Linked DNA regions of Coturnix japonica. The protein of the gene in region 5 interacts with the protein of the main gene of each other region in a pairwise test. Links are inferred from orthologs where the notes say so. Each region holds a gene or a part of one and is shown on either strand. Other genes may lie near its edges.

Region 1 (3,500 bases), on a different chromosome or scaffold from region 5:
TGCTGACTCAAAGTGTTCTGTTTCTTTCATCTTGCCTTTTCTCATCCCTAGTTTTGGATTTACGTTTAGACAAGTCCCAAGTCAGGACTGTATGACCATGTGGGGTGCTAGAACAAAATGTACTCTGATGGTGTCACCATAGAAACGTTCGTACAGTATTGAGCTGCTTCAGCCAAACCAGCACATGTTGCAGTTCTTAGAAATTGTCTGAGTAGATTGGCCCCCAGATTCTGAGTTTGGTTTGCAGGTTAAATCTTGCATACAAATAGGGAAAGCTTTAGTGAGTAATGAAAATCTGATCAAATAAGCAGCATGTATGATTATAAGTTTTGAAACTGCTTTTCCTGATTAAGTCTGTTGCCTTTTTTCTTTCTTCAAGTAAACATGGCTGAACTCTACTGAAGGGTCTCCCAGAAAACTGGGAGAAATTGCAGACTTGTGTTGTTTTTTTCCTTAGAAGCGTTAGTGTAGAGGTACATACAAATATCTATTTACTCAGCAATCTGTACATTCCAGAGTTACTCCTGAATCGTAGCTGACCAGAAGGAACTGGAGGCTGGAATGATTGACGCTTTCTGTGATTGCTGTGATGGCACCTCTCGGCTCCCCCATCAGCTCCACAGCATGAGAGTTTAAGTGATGTGCCAGAGCTCTGCCCTGCTTTCAGTGCTCGGTTTTTTTCTTAACATATTTGATTAATGCAGGCTTAAAAAAGAGGGGATTACAGGCTGGTGTATGTTTATTTCAAGAAGATAAGCGTTAGTGCATTGCATGGCCATGTGTATCTTGTGAACTGCGAATGGATTAGGAGTAGGAATATATGTTGCCTTTACTTTCATTAATGAAATGCATGAGGTATACATCTTCACTGTGTGTATCTTAATAATCTTTTAACAAGTTTTCTTAGCCTTAAGGCAGTAGGGGTAGTGGAGAAGTGTTGAATGAACCATAGGCATCAAAGACCAGAGGAAGTGCATTGTTGTAAGCCTACAAGTAACTGGATTTACCGCTAGACAGCTGAAAAAGAAAATGGTTTGCTCTTCTTTCTTAAGTTCTTATTGGGGGAGGAAGGGGTAGCTTGCTTTAAGCTTCTTTCCAGTCTGACTCCAGAGACATCTGGTATGATCCAGCACTCTCCTTCCCTTGAGTATTTTGTTTTCTAATGGTAGGCTTTGTCCTAAATTGGAACTGGTTTGTTATTGGTTTTGTTGAATAATGTGACTTGGTGTGGCTAAACATGGAAACACTGCATGTTAAGAAGCAAGTAATAAAAATATTCTACTCAGTCTGTTATAATACATGTGCTCTGTGTACAGCACTGATGTCCACATATTTTATTGTTTGAAAAATAAAAAAAAAAAGGTAAAAAAAAAAAAAGATAAAATGTTGAAAACTCATTTCTCCTTTCCTGTTACAGAGTGGTAGAACAAGAAGCTCAGAGATCGCAGCAAGTTTCCCAGGACAGAAAAAGTCCCAGCAGAACAAATGGCTGCAGTGAGAACAGGCCTATTGACATCCTGGAAATGCTTAGTAAAGCCAAGGTTGAATATGAACGGGTAAGGAAATATGTTTATTTTCTTGCATTATGAACAAATAAAAACACTTGTTTATTTGGGGGTTAAGGCCTCATATGGACACTGGCAAAGTGCATTCCTTGTGACCTATGAGAGCAATGGTAGCGAAGTATTCTTGTATACTGGATTGTACTGCGTAGTATGCTGTCACCTAAGATTGCAAAGTAGCACATGTAATCCATAATTTATTGGGCCTGTAATTTTATATGTTTGAACTGCTGGATCATGGAGAAAAAGCAGGTACCTGGGAAAGCAAATGCAACAGATGCATTTTTTTTCTAAAACTGGATGTAGAGGCTCCATAGTATCACTGTTCATCTACTGTCATGTCTTGAGATCAGTCACAAAGAAAATGTGAACAACTATGTAACTCTGTAGAAGAGTAGATGACTGTGCCTGTTTTTGTGATCCTCTGAATATTCCTTAATAGTAGCTGACACTTGTTTTTTTCATTTTTTTCCTCTGTACTGAAAATCACTGGAGGAGGTTTGCTATTATTCGTGCCATAATCAACAGCGTTCATTAGGTTGCAAACCAAATTGCTTTGGCTTTAAGTAAGAGCTCAAAAGCTGTGTACTGTCCTATGCCTGTGATAGAAGCCAAGAAGTACAGTGGCCTACAGGGAAGGGTTTATATTGCCCAAGAAATTCTGAAAGCATTTCTTTCTAAGCCTAATAATACAAAAATATACAAAAGTAATTTATAGGTGTAATGTAGCAGAAATATGGTATGTGTTTTTAGCTCTATTGGTGGGGGAAAAGGTAGAAGCATTTCAGTGCTTCATTTCTAGTGCCGAAACTAGAGTAAATGCAAGATCCTCATACAATTCTAGGTTGCTACAACACATTGTGGAATGAGGAGGGAGGAAAGAACACATGGACTAAGCCACGTGCAAGCCAACTTCTATTCAGTTTCTCATGTAGTGTGAGGATAGATTAATGTGACAGTCTATAGACTGTAGTTGACCTGGGCTAGATACTAGTTTGTGAAGATCACATTTAAAGAAGTGGAATGTTTTTTTCTTATTAAAGGAGAAAAAAATCATGCAGGATTTCAGCTTTTCCTTTCTTAATTTTCTGGTCTTATGTGAGTTTTGGAAGCTTTTCCCTAGAAACAGAATTCCTGAGCATAATGGATGAAGCTCTGCAGAAAGGTAAAATGCTGATAAATAGACAGTGGCAGCTGTCACGCAGTATGGAAATACACAGATGTACTACATATGTGACTTCTTTGCCTCTCAATCTTGATTGTCCTGCCTGATGCTTTTAGAGCACCTTTGTAACTAGAAAATCTTTGCTTTGTACGTGTATGAGCTGAAAAGTGAATCTGCTGAAGTTAATCCCTTAACCTGCTATGACTGCAGTTCTGTACAAGTTGGTAGTTAAATAGAATCAAGCAAACTTCTTGGAGAATGTTCTACTGACCGCTCCAGGCAAGTGAACTTAGGAATTCCTTGTAAGCATCATACATTATTGTTAATGTGATTGGGTAAAGCAACTTGAAGATGGCTTCTTAAGATATCCTTTTTTGTCTAAATCTTTTAAAAATTATTTTATGGCACTCATTAATTACAATTGAATTTGTATTTAGGAGCAGAAAGTACTTATCTGCATGGTACATTCCAGATGGATCATACAGTAATCCTTGTGTGCAGCCCACATGAGATTGGCGGAGTGTCAGCATGAGAAGGGGGCAGAGAGAGTGAAAAAGAGATTTATGAAGGTCTGAGTGATTTAATCTAGGATTCCAAATCAGCTTAATCCTTCAAGTACTTGCTCCATCGAGGCCATATGTGAAAATGAATGAACTCCGAGATTTTTTTTTTTAATGAAGTGAATGGATGCTTTTTATAGTGTTTCTGTGTGTATTTCATTCTGAGAATGGAAACATTGCAGATTATCCTCTTGTGAAGGGAAACACTGTGTT
Region 2 (2,784 bases), on a different chromosome or scaffold from region 5:
TGAACTGTTAATGTCAGGGTCCCGGCAGGCTGAGGGTGCACTTTGTGAACACGCCGCAGGGAGGGAGCGACCAGCGGGCAGCCCTGGATCACAGGGATTGATCTGCAACGCTCACGGATGGGTGTCAGTTTGGTTTGGTGGTTGTTTTCTTTTTGCCAAGTATTGCACTGCTAATACCAATACAAAGTAATGGAAGGGTACCGACAGCAAAGTGGTGTCTAGAACCAGACAAGCGAGGTTGTGTATGTAAAGGAAATTTGAGCGAGCTGCCCTGAAGAAAGGCATAGTGACGAGATGAGAGAGAGAGAGAGACAGATGCATTGTTTGGAGATGTTTAGCCAGTGCCCTTCTTCCCTGTGAGCCGCAGAGGCTCAGAGCGGTACTGGCTTTGTAAAGGGAAAGGCCTTCATTTCTTCGTTTATCCCCCCAGCAGCGCTGGAGAGCGAGGTGGCTTCAATAAGCCTGGTGGTAAGTTTTTGAGCATTACAATGGATAGTGTTTAACGGAAAAAAAAAAAAAAAAAAGAATAATAATAATAATAAATAATAATGATAATAAAACAAACCAATTGCAGTCAGTCTGTAGAAAAAAATAAAGTGTAATTTGTCTTAGTTTTAAGTGGTTAAAAATGACGTATGCAACAAGACTGTAATGGGTAGAGCCGGCCATGCCCAGGGGTACGCGGTTACAGGTGATATGGAAGCATTGAGAAACCACTTCTGTAATTGGGGGAAAAGAAATGGTTTGGATTTGATAATTCTTAAGTAACTTTTGGATTAACCAACTGTAAAACGGATTGGCCTGGTAAAGCATTAAGACAAAAAACCAACCCCACGCAATAGTGGTTAATGGATGGAAAGGCTGCTAAAAACAGCGAACCGGTCGCCACGTAGAGGTGCATTGCTGGTGATTGTGCAGTGCGGGTCAGTTGGAGTTTAACCAGCGCCATCGAATGGTGGTTATAAGTAGATAGTGATGTGTGTGTCGCTCCTTCAGCCCGCAGGGCCTGCACTAACACTGCTTCTTATGGTTCTCTCCCGACTGGCAGGACACATGGAGGAAGGACCGGACCTTGACTTAGGTAATTGTCACTGCTCACACCCCTCCCAGGCTGCTGGCGTGGAGGTTTCTGTGCCCATCTCAGCTGGCAGAAGATGTTGCCCCGTATCTCGCCCTCCCATAACCCAAGTACAGAGGTGCTCTGCTGTTTGCAGTCTCTTTGGGGCTGTTTCATCTGATTCTCTATTCCTGGTTCATCAGAGCGCTTGGACTGGTGGAAGCCCACACGTGTCTGTGAGATGCTTGTGCTTCTCTATGGAGCCAGGGGGCTCTTGCCAAGGAGCTGCTGTGTGGCTGCCTGGAGCAGCAGAAAGCACGTTCCAGGCTGCAGCAGTCTGGAGCTTGTAGGCACTTGTCCAGCAGTCTCCTTCCTCCTTATAAGATCATAGAATGGTTTGAGTTGGAAGGGGCCCTTAAAGGCCGTCTTACCCAACCACCCCCTGCAACAAACAGGGGCACCCACAGCTCCATCAGTGCTCACAGCCCCATTACCTGTGGCTGTCTGCAGGGATGGTGCACCACCCACCACCTCAATGGGCAGCCTGTGCCACCCCCACCTGGGGCCCTTTTCTTCCTCCTGCACAGACACATTTGGTAGTTCCCCATCAGCCTAAGGAAAGAGGGGATTATAGCAGCAGGAGGGGTGAGCATCCACATGCGGGACCTGGAGGATGCAGGGGTGTGTTGTGCCTTTGGGTCTCGCTCATGCCCCATTGCAGAGGTCTTGCATGGTGCCCTGGCCATGCTGGGTGGCTGCAGCAGAGAGCTCAGCCCTTAGCACTGCTCTCTGTGCCTGGGGTTTCCTGGAGTGCCTCAGTTCTATGTCGCTTCATAAATGCACTTATTGAGAGAGAAGCTGCAGCTGGCTGAGGGGTGACGTGCTGCTGGATCGCTGCCTCTTCCACTGCCTGACCCTGAGATTTGTCTCCTAGGCCCACCTATAGACCTGGATGAGGACTTGGACAACAGCTCAGTGTATGTGCAGGGACTCAATGATAACGTGACCCTGGAGGATCTGGCAGACTTCTTCAAACAGTGCGGGGTTGTCAAGGTGAGAGGAACGTGTGTGTGCAGGTGAGCACAGAGAAGGGAGCTGGCTGCCTCCTCCCTGCCCACTGTCCCATTCAGCCCCTTCTGTGGAGCCGGGCAGCTCTGATGGGCAGTGAGATCAGCACAGCCTGGAGCTGCCCTGTAGCACAAGCTCCCCAAAAGATCCTCATCAAGCTTTGTCCCTCTGTGCACTTCCATCAGCCATGCAGAAGCAGCAGTGCTTACAGACTCAGGAAGCATCCGTCTGTGGATCTGCTGCGGGTGGGATGTGTGACAGCTTGAGCGCAGGGCGGTGGGGAGAGTGGAGGAGGATGTGGGGAGGCTGCAGCTCCATTCCTGCACTCACAGGAGCCTGCAGGAGAGGCTGCTGGGCCAGTTCCTGCTTTTGGTTGCCATGGGTGGCTGTTGGTGTGGTAAGCCAGAGGGCCATTTCTCTTGCCACGGAGTTGCTAAGTGGAAGTGTTAGCTCAGATCAAAAGCAGAACAGGGGGGAGAGCCCCCACTCGGTGTATACGGGGATGTGTGACTTGTTATAAATGATTTGATGTCCTGCTAGATGAACAAGAGGACTGGGCAGCCCATGATACACCTCTACATTGACAAAGAAACTGGCAAACCGAAAGGAGATGCCACGGTCTCTTATGATGACCCATCCACTGCCAAAACAGCTGTGGA
Region 3 (4,249 bases), on a different chromosome or scaffold from region 5:
AGTGCTAATTTCTTTCAAAATAGCTCTGTCTGTTCTTGCAGTTATTTAAAAATAGCTGTGTTTGGATTTTCTAGACGAGTTACATGATGAAGCAATGCAGATATGGCAGTGCTCCTTCCAGATCTCGTGCACTATTGCTTGGATGAGAGCAGATCATAGAATCATTGGTCTTTTCCAGTCTGAGCGATTCTTAAAGATCATAGAGTCCATCCATGACCTAACCATACTACCCGAACTAACAACCCTCCACTAAATCGTCTCCCTGAGCACCACACCCAAACAGTTTTTAAACACATCCAGGGATGGTGACAGCCACCTCCCTGGGGAGCCCATTGCAGTGCTTAACAACCCTTTCGGTAATCTAAACTTACCTTGGCACAACTTGAGGCCATTTCCCCTCATCCTGTCACCAGTGAGAGGAGACCAACCCTGCTCTCACTGTAAGCACCTTTCAGATATTGGAAGGGAGCAATAAGGTCTCCTCTCAACCTCGTTTTCCCCAGACTAAACAGCCCCGGTTATTATTGGTGCTAATGAACAGATCTTAACGGGGAACTTGTGTCCTATTCTACTTATGTGAAAGCTGTGTATTTGTCTAACGTTCCCCTGCCTGTAACCCCTCCCTCACTTCACCGCTTCTCCCTCCCCTGAATTTCCAAATCTGCTTGATCTCCAGGAGCAAACTTAAAAACCAAAACAATAGCAGCATGAACAAAATTACTGAAAGGATTCTAGATGGTTCTGGAAGAAAAAAAAAATAATCTGTAACAGTGATGCAATACATTATGTAAGACTTAAGTATGTGAATTCTGGGCTTTACTGAAGTTCTTTGGTGTTCCTGACTTGTGGTTTGGTGTTTTTCTTTGTTTGTTTTGTTAGCAGCTTCCTCATTTCTACCTTCATTTTTCCCCACCCCCCAACTAAAGCTGTTTTATTGATTAACTAATGTTTCAAAAGAGCCACTACTGTAAAAAGGTACAGATACTTTTGTTTGTTTGTTTTTATAAGAGAAAAAAAAAAAGGCTGATCTTCAAAATTAATCCCTAATACTTGTCAGGTCTAGCCATGATTTGGCTCTGTCTATGGCTGTTAATGTGTGACATGGATTCTGAACTGCCCGGAGTAAGGGAGAATTTGGAGTATGTGATACAAATTCTGGATTGCAGACCTAGCAATGCTGCGTCTTTCAACATCCAGCGGGTCTTTGTTTATTTTTGCTTTCTTTTTGCAGCTACTCAGAACACCACTGGTAATGTTGCAGCCATGCATTAACCATTTTCTGCCTAAGAAACCTTTTATCTGGCCCCCCTCTGCCTGTGCAGTTTGTTGCAGTGTAGTGAAGAGGGAGGTGCTCTGCTGTGTAAAAGCTTTATCCACTGCTGAGTTGTCACTGAATGGCTGGTCTTGAGTGCACATCGCAGCCATCTTAATCACATTTTCAGTGCAGCTCAGACAGTGCAGTTTCAAAATGGCTGACAAAGTGTTCATTGCAGCAGTTTAGCTTGATTGTATGCAAATGAGCAGAGCTGATGGCATCACATGCTTCAGACCTTGGAGGTAAGCGCCAGTTCTGCTTTGCTGAGAAGCAATTCTATCATTTTGGCTGAATGAAATTTGGAATTTTAACCTGGAAAAGTGTGATTTTTTTTTTTCTTTTTTTTTCTTTTTTCCTTGTCAGTAGGAGGGTGGTTGTCATGTTGTTGCTTTACCCCTCTCATTGAATTAGTTCATAGATCTCTTATCTTTTCTCAGTTACAGGGTAGATGGGGTGGGGTTGAAGAGGTCAAAGGTCACACATATATCTTGCTTAACAAGTGATTTAATTGTGGTTCGCTTCCTTACCAGGCCAGAAAGAGCTCTTACTTCATGCTACTCATTTTTCAAAATCTTGCCACGTTTTATATTTTCATCTTATATTTATTTTATATTTTATACTTATTATATTTATTTTATAAAATAAACTCTTTATCAAGTAGCTAGATTTACATTTGATACTGTATTTTCAACAAGTTAATTTTTTCCAATGTTAAATTAAAATTTCAAAACCTGCATAAACACATTGGAATAGCAATAATTATGTAAATATTAACTATTTTGCAGGTAACAGTTAGTTATTAGTCAAGAATAAGAGCTGTATAAATCTTGCAGAACTGCTACAAATAATAAAGTGAAAGATATAGAGTAAATTGTTCTTTTCTTATATGAAATCTGAGTTTCAGAGTTCCAGTGGCTTCTTATGACCTGGGTGTTTTCTGCATGTTACTCATTGAAGGTCGCCTGGGTATCTGTCATGCTGAAACTTAATTAAATGTAGGTGATAGGTGTTGGTGTCCAAGACCATGAAAACAGGAGAAAAGCAGTGTTCAGATTGAAAGAGTAAGAGAAAGGAGATACTTTTCCACATTAGTAATTTATTATCTTGTTTGCATCGGACTAAATTACCTAATTAAGGTTTTCATGGGGTCTTAAGCTATATGTGAGTTAATTTTGTAGTAATTAAATAGGAAGTTACTTGAAGTTCTCATGAGAGATCTCAGAAGTAGCAGAAGAGCTGAGTAATTCATCAGTATTTATGAGTGACTACATAGTATTTTTCTTGTCTGAAGGTGAACTTAATGCAAAAATTGTGAAAGTCCATATTAAATGCTTAAAAAAGTTTATTCCTTCAATATTTTTGCATGTTGATTCATGTTTTTTTGTTTGTTTGTTTCTTTTTACATGTCTTGTTACAAAGTACTTTGTGGTTAAATTAGTTCTGAAATATCTGTTTACATAAATGATCTTCTAATGTTATTGGCAATGTACCATTTTGAAAATAATGAAGTATTTTGAGCAAATGGTGCATGTCAGGTTCTCAGGAGACATTGCTGCATGCTTACCTTTGTATCTAATACAAGAACAGAAAGTGATTTTTTTCACAAAAATCACTAAAACACAGGAATTTAAGGGTGGATTGATTCTTGACTTCAACTAACTGTAAACTTCGTAAATCTAGTTCCTGTAAGAGATTCCTGCTTTAGAATAACAGGTAAGTGATAGCAATAACACCTACGTGTGATTGCAGTTGAAGCTGACAGGTAGTCCTATTACTTGTTTTTATTACTCATACAATTCTTTTCGGTCATTCTTGACTTAAATGTTTATAGTGGCCTTTCTTGATTGGATAAGGTAGTTAAAGACACAGAAATAATTTGGGCATGTCGGAATGTCTTGAGAATTTGGTCAGTAAGGCCTATTTAAATCTAGCTAAAATGTGCCTTATTTATAATAAATGCATGCTAGTAGTGTAACAAGACTTCCATCTTCCCATCTCCCAGAGAGTCTCTGATTTCCTGTAAGATAATGACTCATGTCATCCTGACCCCATCTTACAAAAGATTGCTGAGGTTTCTGTTTGTGTAGTTTTAGCTGTTAATTGTTTCCAGTTAATTCCAGATGTTAATAACTCATTCTTTGAAACAAAAAGAAGGAATCCATTCTTTATGATAACTGAATTGCTACTTTGTAAACACTGAAAAGGATATTTTGTCTCAAACATGCTTTATTGCATGTATACGTGAAAATTGTCAAGAAATATTGACTCTGTTTTCTGCTGTTTTGTTAACCCCTCTTTTAGAGGAACACAAAAAGGGAAGGTGGCGTCTTTTTTTGGACTTTTGTTGTAAGGATTGGTTTTTAACATGTGTTAGGCTTTGGTACAGCAGTGTATATTCACATCAGCTCTCTCATGCAGTTCTTTTTGTGCCTTTATTTTTTTATTTTATTTTTTTAAATTTTTTTGGTGTTTTATGTCAGCTTTATGTCAGTTAAGTAAGTTAACTTCCATTTTACAAACAAAGCAAAATGGACAGAGATTACCAGGGTTTAGAGGAACACCTTGTCTCCACAGTGTTTGCCAATTCCTTTGATCTTTGGTTTACTTTATAGCAGGACATTAAAAAGTGTTATCATTTTTGGAGTTGCTGTAGGAAATAACTGGTTCAGAAGGGAGCTATGGAGTGTTTTGTAGTTGGGTGGGTTGGGTTTTTTTCCTTCAGTGAAATGGACATTGGAATGCATGCAATATGTTAGGTCCTGAAATCAATGTTAACATGGAACTTCTGTTTTCAGATGTTTTGAGTAGACAGTAATACTGGTAGCTGAAAAGATTACTCTTTTTCCCTTCCTCCCACATTTTCAGTATTTTTATTTGTTCTTTCATAGTTGAAATACATTGATTACCTAAATGGAAGCACGGCACTCTAATGGA
Region 4 (4,085 bases), on a different chromosome or scaffold from region 5:
GTATGAGACATATTCCTCATGTAGGTTTAATCACTTTGAAATCAGACTGAGTTTAAAAAATAAGTATTTCCCATTTTCTATCCTTTTATTTTATTTTTTTTTAACTGACATTTAATAAATTATAAAATTGGTGTATGGTGAAATATATATATATATATATATATCAGCCAGATATGTATGAAATACACATGCATGGGAAAAACTATTTAACTCACTTTTAACTCACACACACAGATCTATAAATACATATATACACACACATATACATATAAACACAAACATTTGTTTCCAAAATTCAAGTCAACTATTTAGTGGCAGAGGGATGCTGTAAAAACACTAGAAACAATTTTGATGCCACGTAATCGTGTGAACCTTTCAAAGAACCATACAACTGATCATACAGCAATACCTAATGCTACTTGGATTAACGTGTTTTTGCTTTTTTTTGTCTTTTTTTTTTTTTTTTTTTTTTCCTTTTTTTTTTCTTATTTTCTTTTTTTTTTTTTTTTCCTTTTTGTAATTAATGCAATATTTTGAGACAACTTCATAGGCAAAAGGTGGCCCTCGTCAATGCTCAAAGCAACTATAGCTGCAATCAGCAGCTTGGGACATTAAAAACTCAGACAAGCATCTGCTAACCTCTGTATTCCTCACTCTCTTTCCTGATAAACCTGTTACCTGCACTTCCAACCAGTTACAAAAATAGCTTTCACACCAGAGGAAATCACTTCTCTCTGATGGGACTTTGGGACACAACAGAATCACCTCCTCCCCTCCCCCTGCTCTCACTTTAAAGAATCTCCTGAAAAACTGCATTCCAGCTATTTACACGTTTCTCTGTAACAAGAACGGATCAGCCCAAATGATCCACCAGCTCTTAAAAAAAGGTTTTCCTATGTCACACACAGCTGAAAAAGTGAAGAAAGAAACGAAACCAGGAAGCAAACGTGGCTCCAAGTGTGATGGAAGGGAACTGAAAGGAACGGGGAATCAAAATAACCACCAAGCCATAAAGAGAAAACTGAATGGGAACCCCACAACCCTAAGAGAGACTTCAATAGGCAGAGATTCATTTAAGTGCAGGGAAGGGCACTGGGCTTCTTTTTTGGCTTAACAGACTCACATTAAACATTTAATACCAACTTGGGTGAAGGAGAACTCAGAAGACAGCAAACCAAGACCATTATCGGCTGCACCAACCATGCAATAGAGCGTCGGCATTTGTATTTTCTTCCTTTTGCTGACAAGTTCACTTTTAAGCAGAAATTTGATCTACTGCAGCTAAAAGGAGGTTTTCCAAGCCAGGAGACAGGCCCAACCCAGTGGGCCAGTCCTACACGCGTGGCTGATCTTAAAGCACAAGCAGCTCCACACATTTCAAACTGACACATGCTGAATATTGTGAGTAGGATCTTAAGTTATCTTAAAAGGATTTCATAGTAAGTTGTTAGAAACAAAAACCTACAGTCAGATGTGTCGATGCTTTTCTCTGGGGCTGGATTCTATATGAATTTGGTCTTGTCCCACATAACACAGCCAAACAACTTCTCAGCCTGACATTTTATTGAGTCTGGCCCTCCAGAATAATTGGTGCACTAACAAGCTCACAACATGCTTGATTAAAGCACGGAATTAAAAAGAAAGTCAGCCAAACAGAGGGTCACATAGAACAAGAAATGACAAATAAACACTCCTGAAAGGCTACGTACTGCAAACAGAGGGAACGGTGCGGAACAGGCTGGGTAGGGTTTATTCCACATCGAGCACAACAAAATCTGCACTAAAATGGGATGGGGGAATTCCATTCCACCACCAAATACAGGTGTCTCCAAGAGGCAAAAAAAAAAAGAAAAAGAAAAAAAACAACCCAGAAGTTTGAACTTCAGAAGTTCAGTTCCTTTTCCCATTTCTGTTACTGTGAAGAAAATAATGCCATTTGTGTCCAAACTAAGGGCAAAAGAAATAAGTAACTCACATGACAAATGCACAGGTGTTGAATCTTCAGCATCCATTAAATCCAAGTTCCTTGTTTTTGTGGGTTTTTGTGTGTGTGTTCTGCTTTGTGTTGTGGCATTTATTTATTTATTTATTTTGTTATTTTTTTTATCAGTGAGGCCATCTTAGGTTTATATACAAAAGTAAAACTGAAAATATAGTTTTGTTCTCTGTACATGTAAATTTTTTTCCCTAAAAAAGGAAAAAAACCTGTCTATGTTTCTAACATAAAGTAAAACCAAGCACAAAGACTTCCTCTGACAAGTTCGTTTTCTCCAAAAATCAGTCCAACGAAATAATGTCTGATATGATACCAAAGATAGACGCCGTGTCCGCGCCGCTCCTACTTGCAACTGGATGACCATGATTCTCTCGCAGGCTGTTGGAGGAAACAAGACTGCTGTTACTGCCACTATTGCTACCGTTTGTGGCTGGCAGAGAACTGCTTCCTCCTGCATTTAGCTGATCGAGAAACATCTGAGATGAAGTGTATGGGAAAAAACGAGAGTGTAAGAGTTCTTGATCATCTGATGCGGAAACTGCCGCAGCTGCAGCAGCAAGAAGGGATGTGTTGTAATGCTGGGGGGGGAAAAACAACATTTGCAAGTTACATTTCAGACACCATTGTTTTGATTCAGACCAGCAAAAAAAAAAAGAATATATTTGTAAGCTACAGCTCTGACAGCTTCTGGGTTTCACACCAGCTCGCCCACTCAACCTTTCTGTAAGGTAAACGGATCGATGCAGTGATCTTTTACTTCTGCAGCCTCTGAATTTCAGAGCCAAAAGGAATGGGAAATACTGGCAATTAGTAAGAAAAAACACTAGAAAGGTAGTGGCATTGCAAGACAGCCGAACAGTGAGAAATGTCAAGCAGAAGCACTTGTACCTCTCCATACAACTCCTTGGTGGAAAAATTCCCCAAAATTCAAAGAATCATTTTGCCATCCCTCTGCTCATTAGTCATCAACTACAGCTGGTAAAACTATGGGCTAATCACTGCTGGTGGAGAGAGAAACAGTTCTTCCCTGTGAAAAATACATTTAGAAATATGGGAAATATGTTTAGGCCCATCAGGAGGCAGCAAAGGCCGTCTGAAGTGACACTCTTTGACAGGCAGCACCCAAAAGGCAAGAACTTCAATTATCAAGGTCGGATTTTAAATGTTATTTATCTGTATGGTGCTTCTGCTCTTTATATTTGTTTTAACTACAAGGAAACATCCACACACGTCATTTAGCCTTGTTTCCTGGCACTCGAGCACTGGTACAACTATGCCTTGCCAGTGCAACACCAGACTTTGGCAATACTCATTTCAGAATTATTCTCATGTCTGTCTTTTTACTGAATATGAAGAAAGCTTCTCTGAATCCAAGTTCTGTTAAACAGGCTCTGGACTTTGCAATGACATGGAAGTCCCCTTGTTTTTAGTCCCATTCTCCTACCTGAGAGTGCTGAACAGGAATGGAGGGAAGAAAGGTGGTGAACCACCCCAACCCTCTTCTTTGCTGGGAAGCACTGAAGGGGTAGTGACCAAGTGGGAGAATTCACCAAACCTTTTGAGAACCATCTTTTTAGTTCCCCGAACTGCAGAAGCCAGCACCAAATCTAGTTCATTTCAGTAAGTGCTTACAGGAAAGCAGCAAGCAGTGTGAGCAGGCACACAGCCTCAGGGGAAGAGGAAAATAAAAGGAGCTGCCCTGACTCTCAAAATTGCATAGAGCACTGTCAAGAGACCCAGTGATGGGGCCTAACATGGTCAGATGGAGAAAGATCACACTAACTTAAAGTATGTAAAAGTGTGCATTTTCAGCCACAGCCAAGGGTCATCCTGCAATATACCTGCAGCTAACTAGCTTGAAGCCCTTGAAGAAAAGTCTTTGTCTGCTGTTATGCCTTATCATGCATCTGTATTTAGGATAATGCTTATGTCTGGTTACATCCTATGTGCACAAAAGAGGTACAGTCTGCCTGCACTCACACCTGTGTTACAGATCTGCTCTTTCCTCGCCTATACATCCAAGTCAGCAAGTCCTTATCAGAAAAGCAATCTGCCAGATGGTTTGATTTTCCTTAACTTACCTGATTGT
Region 5 (4,177 bases):
ATAGGATCCAATAGGACTCTATAGGACCCAATAGGAACCAATGGGGCTCCATAGGAATCAATAGGACCCCATAGAACTCAATAGGACCCCATAGAAACCAATAGGACTCCATAGAACTCAATAGGACCCCATAGGAATCAATAGGACCCCATAGGATCTAATAGGATCCCATAGGATCCAATAGGACCCCATAGGATTCAATAGGACCCCATAGAACTCAATAGGACCCCATAGGATCTAATAGGACCCCAATAGGACCCCATAGGATCTAATGGGACCCCATAGAACTCAATAGGACCCAATAGGACCCCATAGGATCCCAATAGGACCCTATAGGACCCCATAGACCCCATAAGACCCCATAGGACCCCATAGAACTCAATAGGATCCCATAGGAACCAATAGGACCCCATAGGACCCCATAGGATCCCAATAACACCCTAATAGGACCCCATAGAACTCAATAGGACCCCATAGAACCCAATAGGACCCCATAGGATCCCAATACGACCCCATAGGACCCCATAGACCCCATAGGACCCCATAGGATCTAATAGGACCCCATAGGATCTAATAGGACCCCATAGACCCCATAAGACCTCATTGGACCCCATAGGAACCCATAGAACCCAATAGGACCCATTATAAACCCCGTAGTCCCTTACGCAAATTGCGTAACTCCTCCCCATTATAAACCCCTATTCCCTTACGTCAATTGCGTAACCCGACTCCCACTTACGCAAGCTCCGTATCTCCCCCCCATTATAACTACCGCACTCCCTTACGCAAATTGCGTAACCTGAGCCCTCACTTACGCAAATTGCGTAACTCCCCCCATTCTTTCCTATGGCCTCCCTTACGCAATTTACGTATCTCCCCCCATTAAATCATAGGACCCTATAGAACTCAATAGGACCCCATAGGACCCTATAGGACCCCAATACGACCCGATAGGACCCCATAGGACCCCAATACGACCCCATAGGACCCCATAGGACCCCATAGGACCCCATAGAATCCCATAGGATCCAATGGGACCCCAATGATACGGGTTGACACACACACTGTCACACTTGAGATCGAACGCGTACTGACAATACTTGACGTGCTTCAACCCCATAGACCCCATAGGACCCCATAGGATGCAATGGGACTCCATAGGACCCCATAGAAATCAATAGGACCCCATAGAAACCAATAGGACTCCATAGAACTCAATAGGACCCCATAGGAATCAATAGGACCCCATAGGATCTAATAGGATCCCAATACGACTCAATAGGACCCTATAGGACCCCATAGAACTCAATAGGACCCTATAGGATCTAATAGGACCCCAATAGGAACCCCATAGACCCCAATAGGACCCTATAGGAACCCAATGGGAATCAATAGGACCCCATAGAGCCCCATAGGACCCCATAGAGCCCCATAGGACCCCATAGGATCTAATAGGACTCCATAGAACTCAATAGGACCCCAATAGGACCCCATAGGAACCCATAGAACTCAATAGGACCCTATAGGATCTAATAGGACCCCATACACCCCAATAAGACCCCATAGAAACCAATAGGACCCCATAGGAATCAATAGGACCCCATAGGAATCAATAGGACCCCATAGAAACCAATAGGACCCCATAGAACTCAATAGGACCCCATAGAACCCCATAGAACCCCATAGGACCCCATAGGACCCCACAGACTCCATAAGACCCCAATAGGACACCATAGGACCCTATAGGACCCCATAGGATCTAATAGGACCCCATAGGACCCCATAGGACCCCATAGACCCCAATAGAACCCCAATAGGACCCCATAGGCCCTAATAGGACCCCATAGAGCCCCATAGAACCCAATAGGACCCCATAGAACTCAATAGGACCCCATAGAACTCAATAGGACCCCATAGAACTCAATAGGACTCCATAGAAGCCCCTTACGCAGTTTGCGTAACTCCCCCCCCATTAACCACCATAGTCCCTTACGCAAACTACGTAACTTCCCTTACGCAACCTCCGTAACTCCCATTATCGAACCCCCCGCCCTTACGCAAACTGCGTAACTCCTCCCATTGGCTCCCTAGTCCCTTACGCAAATTGCGTAACTTCCCCTACGCAAACTCCGTATCTCCCCCATTATTTCCTATGGCCTCCCTTACACAAATTGCGTATCTCCCCCCATTATATCATAGGACCCTGTAGGACCCCATAGGACCCCAATACGACCCCATAGACCCCAATAGGAACCCATAGGACCCAATAGGACCCCATAGACCCCATAGGACCCCATAGGACCCCAATAGGACCCCATAGGACCCCATAGGACCCCATTGTACTCACCGATCCCAGGCGACACCACCCTCTCGTAATGATACGGGTTGACACACACACTGTCACACTTGAGATCAAACGCGTACTGACAATACTTGACGTGCTTCAACTCATTCTTATGCAGGTCGGGCCACCTCCATAACCTCGCATAGATCACATGGGGGAACCCTTTCCTCCCAGCCACCTGCAGCCTCCCGTCTAATGTACGTTGTATAGTCACGCATTTACTCGGGTGAGCCCCGTTGGTCGTAATGGCGGCGATGAGAGAATCCAGCTCGTCTTTCTTCTCCTTCAGCTTCTTAACGAGGCTCTCGATGGCTCGTTTGGCGAAGGTCTCGCTCTCTCCTCCCTGTCTGTGGCACATTAAGCTGTGCACGATGCTCAGACACGCGTCGTTGCTGCTGGGGGGGGTGGAGATGGACATGGCGGACACCGGGAACGATGGAGAGCCCGATGGAGGCCGCTAAGATGGAGGGACGCAGCACATCCGGGTACTTAGGGGGGGTTCCGGGTTGGGAAGCCGCAGTACATCCGGGGATTTGGGAGGGACTTCCGGGTTTGAGTTACATCCGGGGATTTGGAGGGACTTCCGGGTTTGAGGGACATACGGGTACTTAGAGGGACTTCCGGGTTTGAGTTACATCCGGGGACTTCCGGGTTTGGGAACCCGCAGTACATCCGGGGATCTGGGAGGGACTTCCGGGTTTGAGTTACATCCGGGCATTTGGGAGGGACTTCTGCATCCGGGAACTTAGAGGGACTTCCGGGTTTGAGTTACATACGGGTATTTAGAGGGGGCTTTCGGGTTGGGAACCCGCAGTACATCCGGGGATTTGGGAGGGACTTCCGGGTTTGAGTTACATCCGGGGACTTAGAGGGGACTTCCGGGTTGGGAAGCCGCAGTACATCCGGGAACTTGCAGGGACTTCCGGGTTTGAGGGACATCCGGGGACTTACAAGGGACTTCCGGGTTTGAGGGACTTCCGGGTTTGAGTTACATCCGGGGACTTGGAGGGGCTTCCGGGTTTGAGTTACATCCGGGGACTTAGAAGGGACTTCCGGGTTGGACGCCCGCAGTACATCCGGGGACTTAGAGGGGACTTCCGGGTTTGAGTTACATACGGGTACTTAGAGGGGACTTTCGGGTTGGGAGCCCGCAGTACATCCGGGGATCTGGGAGGGACTTCAGGGTTTGAGTTACATCCGGGGACTTACAAGGGACTTCTGGGTTTGAGGGACTTCCGGGTTTGAGTTACATCCGGGGACTTCCGGGTTGGGAACCCGCAGTACATCCGGGGATCTGGGAGGGACTTCCGGGTTTGAGTTACATACGGGTACTTAGAGGGGACTTCCGGGTTTGGGAGTGAGCATGAGTTACATACGGGGATTTAGAGGGGACTTCCGGGTTTGGGAACCCGCAGTACATCCGGGGACTTGCAGGGACTTCCGGGTTTGAGGGACATCCGGGGACTTGGAGGGACTTCCGGGTTTGAGTTACATCCGGGGACTTCCGGGTTGGGAACCCGCAGTACATCCGGGGATCTGGGAGGGACCTCCGGGTTTGAGTGACATCCGGGGACTTGGAGGGACTTCCGGGTTTGAGTTACATCCGGGGACTTCCGGGTTGGGAACCCGCAGTACATCCGGGGATTTGGAGGGACTTCCGGGTTTGAGTTACATACGGGTATCTGGAAGGCACTTCCGGGTTTGGAGGTGCGCATGCGCAACATCCGGGCACTCGCGGCGCGGCCTTAAGAGCCGCCTCCATGTTGCGTGCGCACAACGGGGAGCGGCCTAAGCTACATCCGGGTCTTGAGGCGTCGTGGACACACGGTAAGA
Region 6 (3,500 bases), on a different chromosome or scaffold from region 5:
AGCAGCACCTGCAGCCAAACGTGCACAGAGCTCACCACCACCTCCCGCATCGCACAGCCCTCCTCTCTGCATTGCTGAGCCGTTACCTTGGTGGGTCCCTTGCTCTGCGCGCTGCGGAAGAAAGAGGTTTTTGCAGTGAAAAAACAATCCTCGAGGTCTTCATCCAAGCTGCAGTACCCGCTGCTCATGCTGCCGCCGATGGCTCATCGAAGGCGGCTCCGCAGCGCTCACATCCCGCACTGCCTGGCTCTCATCTGCATCTCCTGCTGCTCATCCTCAGCAGCGATTGCTCCTGAGTTCGGGTAACCCTTCTCTCTCCTCCTCCTCCTCTGTGCAGCATGGAGCGGCCGCCGTGTCGTTTCGCCCCCAGCTCGCTGCGCAGCATTGCCTCCCCCTTCCTGCTGCGCAAAGCGCCCGCTTCCTCATTGCAAAATCTCTCACCCTTAGAGCAGGGATTGAAGCGCTGGGCAGCCCCGGAGCCTCCCGTGGTGCTGCTGAATGGAAACGTGTCCTTGATGTGGAGCTTAGAAAGAGAGCTGCTCCTTCCCTGCATCCCAAACACAGGCTGGAGCGAGGGATGCTCGCAGAGATGCGCTGCATCCAAAAAGAGGTGGGGAAGGGGTACAAGCCCTGCAGTGCTGTGCAGGGGGCAGTGAAGGTCCATCTGCTCTGCAGATGCTTTGGGAGCTGTGTAGGTACAAGCCAAGGAAATGCTGCCCAGCTCCTTGACCCCGTTTGCAGCAACCCCCTCACTGCAGGGGGATGGAAACTCATGCTCCACAACTCAGCCTGACACAGACCCCAGCTCGGGGCTGCTCCCATCCGCCAGTGTAGATAAGGAGGCTCCAGGCTGCTTTCTAGTTATGCTCAAGCCGCAAATATTTAGAAGCTTTGCAGACAGGGAATGCATTTTTCTTCTCCTCTGCAGCGCTGGGTCATAATTAGAAGAGAAATAGGCTTAAATCAAGCGTGCAGGGCATGAGCAGAACCAAGTGCTGTGTCAGGTGCAGAGCTGGGTCAGCTGGAGATCACCTTTGGTGACATCAAGGCTGAAAATATGATTCAAATCCTTTGTTCTTGTAGGAAATCCCACATCAAGGTGCTGTAGCCCCAGGGTTGAGCCAGGCAGAGGCTGTGCTGGCTGCACTGCACCCAGGGAGAGCAATCTGGGACCTAAACACAACACACTTAAGTACTTTGCTGGATCAAGGCCCATATTATTAATGCTTGGTATGAAGTGCCAACAGGACTTTACTAACTTTCTCCGATGCTCCTGCTTTGCTTACATTTGATAATACTATTTACTGGCTGCCAACTACACCAGCCACGGCATTTCCCACCCTTCCAGTGTGCTGTTCTCCATTTCCCCAGTGTATTCTGGCACCTATTCCCTTTTCAGATGATGGGCACAGAAGCAAGATGCACAGGGAATTTATTAGCAAGCATCAATTAGGGCCACGGGCCGACCTCTGCAATGAAATCTCACCCTGCTAAGAGCAAAGAAATGGGCTTTGGGAAAGAGGCTGACCACCATGAGGGCATACCTGGCTGCAGGGGAGCACAATGGTGCCCACAGGAGAGAGCTGCCCGGGGTCAGGCCGGCGGCAGTCCAGCTGGACGAGGCTGCAGCATTGCTGATGGCACGTGTACCTGCAATCTGGGAGAGAACAGAGCCGTGCTGTGATGGGAGAGCAGCCAGAAGCCCCATGTCCTCCCCATTGCGCTCTACCAACACCCATGGGTGCTGTCTGCAGCCACATCCAGCCCCTCTGAGTGCTCCCCCCACTCCAACAGCCCTTTTAATTTTTAACAGCCCCACAAACAGCATTCAATCAATTATTTCTTACACAACCCACAATTCCAGTGCAGTCATTGACCTGTTGGCCACCCAGCACCCACTCCTCCCCAAAACCAACACCCTCAGCATTGCAGAGGCCCCCTCTACAAGAAAACCTGCCTTTCCCTCTATTATTTTTGGGCACTTGGGTCATTGCTTTTGAACCCCTTGGACTTGCAGAAAGCAAAGTGACATCCCATAGAATCAGATCTCTGCCCCTATCAAGGAATTCCCAAGCAGGAGCAGAGCATTCACGCAGTGCCTGAGTATCTCCCTCAGAGGAACCATTGATTGCTTAGCATTCAATTGACACCAGCTGCCATCCTACCATTTCCAGCTGGTTGTCTCAAGGCTGGGAGGCAAGCAAGGGGGTCTTCTGATTGATTTTTTTCCCCCCTCTTAATTTTAATGAGGGATAAGCCAAGCAGTTGCATGGTAATGCAATGCATGACCTTTCAAACAGCTGGAGCAGCTGCTCAGTGGGACATTTGCCAGCTCTATGCTGCAAGGTGCCAAGCACAGCAGGCTGTGATTGCAGCCCCACCTGAGCAACCAACACAGCAGCCCCCAAAGGCATCACATTCAGATGTCCCCATGCACGGCATGTAGGATGGGAATGATGGAGCACCCACAATGGGGAGCAGTCTGTAGTGTGAAATACAGACCACAAATCACTGAGTCCACCCCCATCACAGCCAGGCATTTCCCCCTTAGGATTACAGCATGACACCTCCTTAGTCACCGCCGCCTATTAGCAGCCCTAATCACCACTATCTGGTGGGCAGCACTAATTTTAGAAGCCCAGCACAGCCCTGGGAAGCAGCCACGTGATGGGGCAGGATGCCTCCATTGCGGCCGTGAGATCATTTCTATTCGAGTCAAACAAAGCCACCGCTGGAAACAGCTTCTTTAAGTAAAGAAAACCCTCGAGTCTGATCACAACATAGCAAGAAACTTTAGTAGCTGAAAGGAACTTCCCTCTGCATGCAGATAAAGCTTATCAGAGTGATAACATTGGATGTGCAACTGAACCCCATCTGGGTGCTCATCCATCTGCCTAAGCGCAGCTTGCAGTCACCCTGCCCAGCCCTGTGTGCCATTGGCATCCTTTGATATAATGCTCTTCAAAGCTGTCCAGCTTCATAGGGTAACCCCAGCCATTGCACCAAGCTGGGACAGGAGCACAAAGCAGCCACTGGGTGGGTGATGCTCTAAAGCCATTGCTTCTTAATGGAGCAGCTTCCCTGCTGAGGCATGAAGCACTTCCAGCTGTGCTCTATGGAACCCCATTACCCCCCTTCATTAACAACAGCAACCAACAGACACCCAAACACAGCCCCTACCTCTCAGCAATGAGCCCTCCCTGCTCAGCCTCTGCGGTCCCTCGGAGCAAGACTTGGACTTGAAAAAGTGCCTGAATACTTTGCGGATTCTCTTTGCAATGAACCCAAAGCAAACAGCAGCCTCTGCTCTGCCCTCCGACATCCTCAGCAGGGGGACCAACACTCCCAAGGCAGCACAGCACTGCGCAGAGCAGCGCCTGCCTCCACAGCCTTATCCCATGGAGATAAAGCATTGACATGAGCCATCGGTGAATCTATTTGACGGATACATTTATTTATATATTTAGAGCACAGTGGAGCCCATTGCACAGCTCGGGGCT

The links.
Region 1: the proteins of SMAD4 (region 5) and DCP1A interact in binary tests that used the Homo sapiens proteins (3 or more experiments, as listed by UniProt). The link is inferred for Coturnix japonica from reciprocal best matches to the Homo sapiens genes SMAD4 and DCP1A.
Region 2: the proteins of SMAD4 (region 5) and EWSR1 interact in binary tests that used the Homo sapiens proteins (3 or more experiments, as listed by UniProt). The link is inferred for Coturnix japonica from reciprocal best matches to the Homo sapiens genes SMAD4 and EWSR1.
Region 3: the proteins of SMAD4 (region 5) and ATF7IP interact in a two-hybrid assay, tested with the Homo sapiens proteins (2 studies listed by BioGRID and IntAct). The link is inferred for Coturnix japonica from reciprocal best matches to the Homo sapiens genes SMAD4 and ATF7IP.
Region 4: the proteins of SMAD4 (region 5) and PIAS1 interact in a two-hybrid assay, tested with the Homo sapiens proteins (2 studies listed by BioGRID and IntAct). The link is inferred for Coturnix japonica from reciprocal best matches to the Homo sapiens genes SMAD4 and PIAS1.
Region 6: the proteins of SMAD4 (region 5) and RASSF5 interact in binary tests that used the Homo sapiens proteins (3 or more experiments, as listed by UniProt). The link is inferred for Coturnix japonica from reciprocal best matches to the Homo sapiens genes SMAD4 and RASSF5.

Annotation. Positions count from the first base shown.
Region 1 is NC_029527.1:4,968,262-4,971,761, reverse strand, and holds part of DCP1A (mRNA-decapping enzyme 1A), read left to right. Parts: intron 1-1,417; coding exon 1,418-1,556; intron 1,557-3,500. UniProt on the Homo sapiens protein: Necessary for the degradation of mRNAs, both in normal mRNA turnover and in nonsense-mediated mRNA decay. Removes the 7-methyl guanine cap structure from mRNA molecules, yielding a 5'-phosphorylated mRNA fragment and 7m-GDP.
Region 2 is NC_029530.1:9,960,591-9,963,374, reverse strand, and holds part of EWSR1 (RNA-binding protein EWS), read left to right. Parts: intron 1-430; coding exon 431-468; intron 469-1,048; coding exon 1,049-1,081; intron 1,082-1,991; coding exon 1,992-2,110; intron 2,111-2,665; coding exon 2,666-2,784. UniProt on the Homo sapiens protein: Binds to ssRNA containing the consensus sequence 5'-AGGUAA-3'. Might normally function as a transcriptional repressor. EWS-fusion-proteins (EFPS) may play a role in the tumorigenic process.
Region 3 is NC_029516.1:44,491,715-44,495,963, forward strand, and holds the start of ATF7IP (activating transcription factor 7-interacting protein 1), read left to right. Parts: upstream 1-1,449; 5' UTR 1,450-1,510; coding exon 1,511-1,557; intron 1,558-4,249. UniProt on the Homo sapiens protein: Recruiter that couples transcriptional factors to general transcription apparatus and thereby modulates transcription regulation and chromatin formation. Can both act as an activator or a repressor depending on the context.
Region 4 is NC_029525.1:17,355,773-17,359,857, reverse strand, and holds the end of PIAS1 (E3 SUMO-protein ligase PIAS1), read right to left. Parts: coding exon 4,078-4,085; intron 2,575-4,077; coding exon 2,278-2,574; 3' UTR 501-2,277; downstream 1-500. UniProt on the Homo sapiens protein: Functions as an E3-type small ubiquitin-like modifier (SUMO) ligase, stabilizing the interaction between UBE2I and the substrate, and as a SUMO-tethering factor. Catalyzes sumoylation of various proteins, such as CEBPB, MRE11, MTA1, PTK2 and PML.
Region 5 is NW_015439872.1:57,627-61,803, reverse strand, and holds the start of SMAD4 (mothers against decapentaplegic homolog 4), read right to left. Parts: upstream 2,801-4,177; 5' UTR 2,763-2,800; coding exon 2,348-2,762; intron 1-2,347. UniProt on the Homo sapiens protein: In muscle physiology, plays a central role in the balance between atrophy and hypertrophy. When recruited by MSTN, promotes atrophy response via phosphorylated SMAD2/4.
Region 6 is NC_029541.1:2,738,722-2,742,221, reverse strand, and holds part of RASSF5 (ras association domain-containing protein 5), read right to left. Parts: intron 1,658-3,500; coding exon 1,545-1,657; intron 530-1,544; exon of another isoform or gene 189-529; coding exon of another isoform or gene 87-188; intron 1-86. UniProt on the Homo sapiens protein: Potential tumor suppressor. Seems to be involved in lymphocyte adhesion by linking RAP1A activation upon T-cell receptor or chemokine stimulation to integrin activation.